Linked DNA regions of Danio rerio. The protein of the gene in region 2 interacts with the protein of the main gene of each other region in a biochemical or structural test. Links are inferred from orthologs where the notes say so. Each region holds a gene or a part of one and is shown on either strand. Other genes may lie near its edges. The genes, in order: nr2f1a and bcl11aa.

Region 1 (4,500 bases), on a different chromosome or scaffold from region 2:
GTATTCAGCAGAATCGACGTGCAGTGCTTTGAGCTTCTCGACCTGCTCCTGGAAGATACGAATGTGATCCATGAAGGCCACGACGCGATCCGCCGACATGGGCGAGGCGTGCAGGCCGGCAGCGGCGAGCAGTGGGGCCACATGTAGGGGCATGGAACACTGAGCCGCGTTTAGCACAAATAACTCGCTCCATGTCAGTCTGAGCAATGACACCTGGTCGGTGATCTGCAGATCGGGAAAGAAAGGGATGTTCCTTGCCCATTCCACTGCACTGAAGAGCAGACGAGCTGCAAGCTCACAGATGTTCTCGATCCCCATAATATTATTGGGCTGCATGCACTGGCTGCCATAGCGAGACGTAGGATAAGGCTCGGCCCGAAGTAGTAACGAGATGTATCCGGAGAGATAGCAATGACCGTTCAGAGGATCCCCATTCGTTAGCGCATACTGGCCCGGGTTCGGTTGGGTTGGAGGCATTCTTCCTCGCTGAACCGCTGACAAAAAGAAAGAAAGGGAGAGGAAATGTACATCCAGAACTGAGAAACATCATTGATGTGGAAGCTTTACTTCGAGTGCATGAGCAGTCTAGACTGCTGTTTATCATATACGAAATTGCAACAAAATTGCACAATATTTAATATTTATTTGTGAGGCATTGCGTTTCGAAGAAAAATCTTTTCACATGGTCCTTGTATCCCTACTAACCTCATTTATTATTGGATGGTAAATGTTTACCTTTGTATATGGACAGAATATGGAGACATACAAACGCTAGCTATCTCTCTCTCACTCGCTGTGTTTGTGTCTATTTATGTCTCCACAAACACGCGCACGCACATGAAAATTCGTTTGAAATGTTATTTTGTAGTTTTATAGGCATGTAGCAAACATTACAGTGGACAAAACGGGTTTAAATCTCGACTTCAGTAGAATTAGTTCACTGCCACTGACATCTGTCTGATTATAAATGCTATACTGTAATAATATTATATGTAATACTTGTAATATACGTATGTGTAGGTTTACGTGTAGTAACACGTTTCCAGGCAATTTAATAATGAGTACTAACTCTGGAACAGTGAAAATGTCCACAAACGAGTACGAAGAGTTTGTTTTCATTATTAAATTCAAGTAAAAAATAAATGAATAAAAATAAACAGGACAAAGGGCACGTGTTAAGTTTTTAAAAGAATCTAAATATTATCAATAGCAGTTTCGCACTACTCGTTATTAAGACTAGAGTGTAAGTTGTAAAGGCCATTGTTCACATACAGCTTAGGCTGAGAGGGGACAGACAGGCCTCTCTGAACGTTTACTCTAGGCTACGGCGTGAAAACAGACTTGTACATCTTACTTCGAGAGATAAACATAGGCTATAGCTTCTTATTTCAATAGGGTACACTATATGTGCATGTGAACGTAGTTAGCTTTTTCGTCTTTCAGCACACACGTAAAAGCACGTAGGCTTAGCTACACACTTAATCTTTATCTTTCTTTTTGACACACACAGTGTTTACTGGGTGACTTTATAATATATATTGTTATTTGCGAGTTGAAATTGGTGCATACGATATTTGCCAATCTATGTAAAAAAAACTATAATAGATCCATGCTGATCTTGCATATATACGCGTGTATTTACAAACGCGCCCTCTGACACTCTTTAGCAATAATTCAATACGATAGTATTTTGCGTTTGCATATTAATATTGCGAGGTCTGCATAACCTTGCTTTAAACAATAAACCTGTTTGTGTAGCAAGTGTGATGTATTCAGAAAAATATATTCACCTTCCCGCCGCATGCCCACTTTTAAACACTTCTTCAGCCGACAATATTGGCACTGATTACGATGGTGTTGGTCAATAGGACAGTTCCTGTTGGCACGACATGTATATGTTAAGTTCCTTCGGACACTCCTCTTGAAGAAACTTTTGCATCCTTCGCAGGTGAATTGACCATAGTGCTTGCCGCTTGATTTGTCCCCGCAAACAACACATTCTATATGCTGTTGACTCTGTCCAGAATTCTGGCTGCCCTTGTCGCCAGCCGTCCCTGGTGTGGACGGAGGTCCTGGCTGACTGGGGGTCTGCGGAGTGTGTGGTGCCGCTGACGCCGCCTGCTGTTGCTCCCTCGCCGGCTGAGCTGCTGGATTGGGGCCGCTCGGAGGTCCTCCAGCCACGTCTTCCTGCGGATCTCGCCAGACGCTAACTACCATTGCCATATCTCGGGCCCGAAAAGTGCTTTCAAGCGAACTGGTCGCTCGGATATCGGAGCAGGGAAAAGGGAAGTCTTGGACGAACGGCAGCGCGAATTCAAATCGGAGCACTCAATCTCATAGGGAAAAAAGTAGAAGCAGAAAATGGTCAATACATTCAAAATACCGGAGTCGATAGAAAGGCACCCGATCAGGATATGCAGTTGTCGGGAGGCCAGTTCCAAGGTAAATTGCAGTCAGCCATTCGGGAACCCAATCGTGAATGAAGAAAGCGATCCCAGACGTAATATAAAAAAAAACAGTTTTCTTAAAAAATACCGCAGTAAAAAACAAAATCTTCACGTTGAAGCAAAAATAATAGCTTTCTGGTGGACCGCAGATCCAAAGTGCTGTGCAAAATAAATTCCCCTCTTTTTTCTTCCTTGCTCCTCTCTCCGTCTTCGCGGTTGGAGAGGAGGAAACACTGAAGAACGGATTTCTCTATCTATGTTCATGAATAAAGCTCATCTGGTCCAGCGAAAAAAAGCAACGTCGCCCGACTGGCTATGTAGTTTCACCTCTCCAGTAGGAAAAGAAAAGAAAAAAAGCAACTAATGGAATATGTAAGAAGCAGAGACCCAAAAAGAATGCGTTTTAACGGGAGTACCAGCGGAGCAATGTTTCCGAAACGGAGATCTGCGCGAATGTCTGTATATAGTGAACTTTGACACTACTATTGAAACTGACACGTTTCTATGGAGATCGCTGCGCCTTATATGGTGCTCGTGTCAAGGAGCCAAGAGAGGGGCTGCTGGCAACTGATAATCAAAGGCGACTGACTGGTCAGAACCCTGCATCGAGGGGGGAGAGAGAAAATGGGAGGCTAAGGTTAGCCAAGCCTCCTTCACTCCATTGGTTAGAGTCCTCGCTCCTCGCTACCTACGACTGAGGGCTCTGACAAGCACAATTTACATTGCTCTCGCCCCTGCGCTGCTATTTACTTTGAAACCCGATTAGAATGGACCGTCTATTGTCACAAAAAAAGAGGAAGAAACCCCAGAAAGAAGCGGCGAAAAGCGGGATGAAAGCAATGAGCGAACTACGCGCACGTGAAAAATAAACAAATGCGTGTGAGGCAAAAGGACTGGTGCGAACCTCACAAAGTTGAAAGTGTTTTGTTCAAAGCCCTAGTCTTAATTACACAAAAACACCGTAACGGCGTCCAGATTTGAACTATGAAGGTCCCATTAATGTTTAACGCAATTTGACAGACCGATATAGCCCACCGACTCGAAATTGCGTATCGATGTATAAAATTCGCTTTTACGTGTCAATATTACACTTAATCCTCAGCACAACGATTAAATTAAAAAGCACCGGGAAGCGCGATGACTACCACTAGTTTGACTAGAGGGATATATCAGTATAGGCTATAACGGAATGTTTTCTCAGTGATAGGAAACATATCAAGCAGTAAACCAGGGCACAAAAGAGGAATCAAAGTATAATGATATTGAAAAATAGAAAAATACATCGATGGATCCATCCATGTTTTAACATATTTATTAACGAGGGAAGTTTTGGTATAATGCGCAGGGAAACCGGCTTTTTGAGCATGAATGCTGAAGGCTGCGCTGTACAGACTTATAATGTCTGGATCGGGCTGCCATCTAGCGTACAGTAGACAATTACAGCGACATGAAAAATTAGTAATTTATTGTCATTTAAAGCATGTTTCCAAATGTAACTCGTAGACAAATTGCGCGGTGGGATGAATGTTTCTGATTTTTTTTAGTGAAGTAGGCTATTAAAAACATCAGATTTAAAAGTATTTTGATTATGTTTTGCAGGAACTTGTTTAGCATCAAGTTTATTTTTATTTTTTATCAATGTCTCCACTTGAGATGCTTATTTTATTTTTGTTTTCGGAGAAAAGCTTTTTGGCCTCTTATTAGCGGACAAAACAGCAATGTTTAAAATTCAAGTATTTAATAAATATTTTAGTAGCCTTTATCACCTATCACCTATTTTTACCATAAGTTTTTTTTTTTTTTTTTTTGTACAAACAATGCATCAAAGTCCAAAACTGTGTAAGTGAAGTTAAGAGGAAACAAAACCCCGATACCCGACCGTTCAAGAAACCCTCTAGTTACAAAAAGGTAGCTTATTTTCAACTCGACCGCGGAGCTTCTCCGTCCCTCCACAAACAGATCCATAGAAACACACGCTGTTGTCCTCTGTTCATTGCAAAGGTGAAACGAATAAGATTAAAACGAACAAAGAGAAACTTCTGTAAGTGTACCA
Region 2 (4,316 bases):
CACACACACACACACACACACATCTGGATTATGACTGCATGTACAACACGTGTAGATATCCAGCAAAACCAAAACAGTCACAGCAGCATCAATACATGCTTCACACTTGGAGTAAAAGTACTGATACCTTTTTCCATTCTCAATAAAGTTAGCTATACAGTCCACACACAGACACACACACACACACACAGGTATTTATAACGGCTGTTTAGCGAAATCTTTCGCGCGGAGGTTACACTAGCTTGCTAATGGTTAAGAATCTTGACCTTCTTTATAAGCTGCCAATTTCATGCTTTAATGAACCTAAAACCACTGAGAATCAAAAAATAGATTTTAATTTTAGTGGGTGATGATTGGTACAGATTTTGATAATAATAAAAAAGGTGTTGGGATCACGAGCAGGGCGGTTAAATTTACCTCAGCCCAGTCTGGGGCAGATACTGAGGGGCAGATGTGAAGTATCTCCCAGACGTGGTTATGAGTAAAATATTCGACACGTTTGCACATGAAATAACAAAGACGAAACGTGATCAATTACCCTTAAATATGAGCGAATGTTTTCCGTTTTTACATTGTATTATTGTGCGTAATTGCTTGCATTTCTAATAGGAGCAATTTAAAGTGAAGTTAAACGTTTTTGTATCTGGTTCCAAGATACACAGATTGATATTGATTCGTATTAAATTCGTAATGATACCAGATGTAGAACGTCCAGTAATGTGTGATTTTGTGATAAAAACAGAGATAATCGACATATTTGCAAAAACTTGAGTCATAATTTAATAACACCCAGCGAGTACATATAGTTGCTTAATAGATATTTCAGCTTCAATAAAATGTAACATTAATACAATAGCTTAATACAACATTTAAAGTTATGCGTTATTCTACAATCGGTAATGGCATTTAAAGATTTCCGTGCATATGCATATTTTTAAATATTATTATATATACTTCACAGACTACGATTGACCTTGCATAAATAAACTAGGATTCCATGAATGTGTTTTGAAGGAATATTCAACCATTTTAAAACAAATTAAGCCAACTCAAAATTTGTGGAAAGTGTGGAAAACTGTATTAAACTGAGTTTTCACAATAGTTTTAAATTACATTACCTGCATATGCATTTCAAATTAAATCAGTTCTTAAACTAAAAAATATTTAAAGACTTAAAAACAATTAATTTGTCTAAAATTCAAAAGCATCTTATTACAAAAAAAAGATTTAGTATTAGCTTCTCTGTGTATGAAATTCAAAGGGGTTTTGAATAAATTCATTAAAAAAGTTTGTAGGCTCGCTTGTTGTTTCTTTGCTTTAAAAATAACCGTCTTCTGTGTAATTATAAATTGGATGGCAAAGTTTATCAAGATCGATACTGGCTCTGTTTGCATTACCTGAAAGTCATGTTAGTTTTCTAGATCCATTACAAAATATACAAGACATTTTTTTAAAAATCCTATAATTCATGCCAGTTCAGGACGGGGTAAAAAAAAAACTGTTACAAGTTCATATACAATACGTTTCGCTCTTGCAAACATATGGTCAAATATAGATAGTGCTGAAACTGATCGGGTTCGAGTCTAGTTTATGATCGTCGTGTGCCCCCTAGCGGTGGATTTCGGACACGTGCAGCAGCGAAAGCGCAGAGTAACCCGCGCTGAGATCCACAGCCTGTGTGTGGAAACCCAATAATGTTACACGATACTTTACAATGTTACAACAACTCAGGATTTGTGTCAAACACGTTTATCTATTAAAACGCGGACTAATGCTTTTGAAGATTTACGTTTCAGACATCAAAACTAAAACATCAAAAAGATAGAAGCTAAATGGTTGTGTCGTCGAGCTCCTGACAACATTTCAGGTTCATATAATCTGAAGCATACTTTATTTAGAAAAATGCAACTTATCACAGTCCTTCAAAGCACGTTTAGTGTGTCAACTAACATGATCTCTGGAAGAACAGTAGGTTAGTGTGTTACGAATATATGCATAAAAAGCCTGGTTTTCTCGATACATTTGTATCCAAATAGTTGCATTATATTTAGGTTTCGTCTTACCTTTGTCAACGACATTTAAGACGAAAATCAGGCCTAAATAGAAATCGTATTTCTCTCCTTGCAAATGTACTCGAAACGGCAAAGAGCGTAACGTAAAATACTCTTCTACTGCTTTTCAGCGAAAGCCCACAAATACTGCACAACCGCGTTTTGCTTCAAACGTTAGAAAAGCGTTAATGTGTAAAACTCGAAACGATATTAGGCTATATGCAGATGTCTTACTCTGCGCTGTTAGTCTCAGGCAGAAGACTATCGTGCTCTATTTGCTGGCAGTGGGTAGTAAGCGCACGCGGCGCTTGTAAACAGTCGGACACGAGATTTTTCCCAATCAAAATTCGCTTCCACTCTTTGAAAATCTTCCAAAAATAGTGCGAGAGGGGGGAAATCCTGCCCAGAATCACAGACAGACAGCGTTGCGGGACACTCCACGAGATGTGAGAGTAAATAAGCAAGCGAAAGCACGCGTGCATATACCCACCACGGTCCGGTATATGTGAGCGTTTGCTCTTAAGTGGTCAAAGCGACTGGGGCACGAGAGCCAAGACATATGCGCCTAAACACAGAGTCGACACGAACTTCTCCAAGTACAGCGATGGAAGACAAACTTTTTGGCGATTCGGTGCGCGTAAAGGCATTCAAGAGATGGGAACGCTCTCTTCGCTAAAGTCCACTTGATCGGCGCTGCGCTGTCCAATGTCCAGTGTGTCTTCCCTGAGAATTACGCTCCTCTCCAGCAACTCAACGCTACACAACGCAGCCAAAAAACAGGTAAAGGCAACGGGCACAACATATATTTGTCTTTACTTACGCGAAAAATCCCGTTTGCTTAAGTGCTGGGGTTTGCCTTGCTTGCGGCGAGACATGGTGGTTGGTGGTGGCTTTCAGCTCGGTTCACATCGGGAGAGCCGGGTTAGAAAGGAGACTCCAGAGAAAATATCTTCATCAATGCCTTTGACATCCAAAATAAATTAGAAATAATACAAAGATGGCGCAGGGAAGATGGATTGTGGGATAGCCGTCATGGCTTTTTTGAAAAGAGAGAGAGAGAGATGAAAAAATGGCAAAAGCCCCCCTGAGCTGCAAGTTCAAGTGCGGACGTGACGTCCCTGCGAACTTGAACGTCAGGAGATGGATGGACACAGACATACAGAACATGGGCAGGGCAAAGCCGTGGAGTAGGAGGAGGGAGTGGAAATAACAAAACCAATGGACACTCATTAGGGGCTGGACATGAAAAATAGACCCGAAGAAGCCAATGGACAGAAAGATCAGGGGGCCGGACAAGAGGCGAGAAAGAGGGAGCGAGAGACAAGCACACACACAAGGAGAGAGAGAGGGGGAGATATGTTTAATGAAAGCAATGTGCGCTGCGGAGTGTGTGTGTGTGTGTGTGTGCGTCCGCGCGCGCTCGCGCTCTGGGGGTGGACGCAGGAAAACAGAGCACGAAAAGCCAATGGACAGGAGATTCAAGGGGGCCGGACGTGCTATATATACAAAGACAGTGAGAGAGGAGCCTCGCATTTAAGGTTTCGTAGTGGACACTGATGGTGTTTCAAACACACTGACTCAACTCCTGGTCAAACAGTCAAAGGTAGCGCGCAAGGTAGCTGCTTTTCAGCGAGACACGATCGGGTTGCATGAACAGGACAGACAGGTTCCGAGCCGGGGCATGTGCAGGGTTCAACCGCCGCGTGCGCTGCCACATTCCTCCAGCTCAGAGAAACTTAAGGCACATCACATAAAGCGGGATGGGATACTTGCTCGTGCGCTCTGCGCGCGATGTAGGTGGGACTTAAATACTACAAGAGTGTAATTGTAAAAATATAACAACACACTGACGAATAGATTGTGGGAGCAGCCCACTAGAAAGAAAGGGGACGGGGTAATAACTTTCAGATGTGTTCAGATTATAGAGAATGGCGACTGGGGGGAGGAGGGGGTGTCAGTAAACCGCCGCGTGGATTTAGAAATATAAAGATGCTGTAAACAGCGCTGATGCATTCGAAATTAAAGAGACATGAAGCGTATAACCGAACGCGATGACAAGCTAGTTCAATGCATGAGGTGGGAGGAAGAGAGAGACACCCCTGCGAACTAGTAGAAGTACAACTAGACTATAGCGACTACTCCAGAGAAAGCAGAGGCTGCGTGAACAAGTGACAGTCTGCGGGGAAAAGGCACAATTCAATAGGGAACCGATCGGAGTTGAAGCCGAATGCTGGAGATAATACGTGACCCGCGAGCGAGTGAGTG

The links.
Region 1: the proteins of bcl11aa (region 2) and nr2f1a form a complex in vitro, tested with the Homo sapiens proteins (2 studies listed by BioGRID). The link is inferred for Danio rerio from reciprocal best matches to the Homo sapiens genes BCL11A and NR2F1.

What each region holds. Positions count from the first base shown.
Region 1 is NC_133180.1:53,814,486-53,818,985, reverse strand, and holds the start of nr2f1a (nuclear receptor subfamily 2 group F member 1-A), read right to left. Parts: upstream 2,926-4,500; 5' UTR 2,224-2,925; coding exon 1,791-2,223; intron 495-1,790; coding exon 1-494. UniProt on the Homo sapiens protein: Coup (chicken ovalbumin upstream promoter) transcription factor binds to the ovalbumin promoter and, in conjunction with another protein (S300-II) stimulates initiation of transcription. Binds to both direct repeats and palindromes of the 5'-AGGTCA-3' motif.
Region 2 is NC_133188.1:29,070,224-29,074,539, reverse strand, and holds the start of bcl11aa (BCL11 transcription factor A a), read right to left. Parts: upstream 3,032-4,316; 5' UTR 2,927-3,031; coding exon 2,872-2,926; intron 2,482-2,871; exon of another isoform or gene 2,064-2,481; intron 1-2,063. UniProt on the Homo sapiens protein: Transcription factor. Associated with the BAF SWI/SNF chromatin remodeling complex. Binds to the 5'-TGACCA-3' sequence motif in regulatory regions of target genes, including a distal promoter of the HBG1 hemoglobin subunit gamma-1 gene.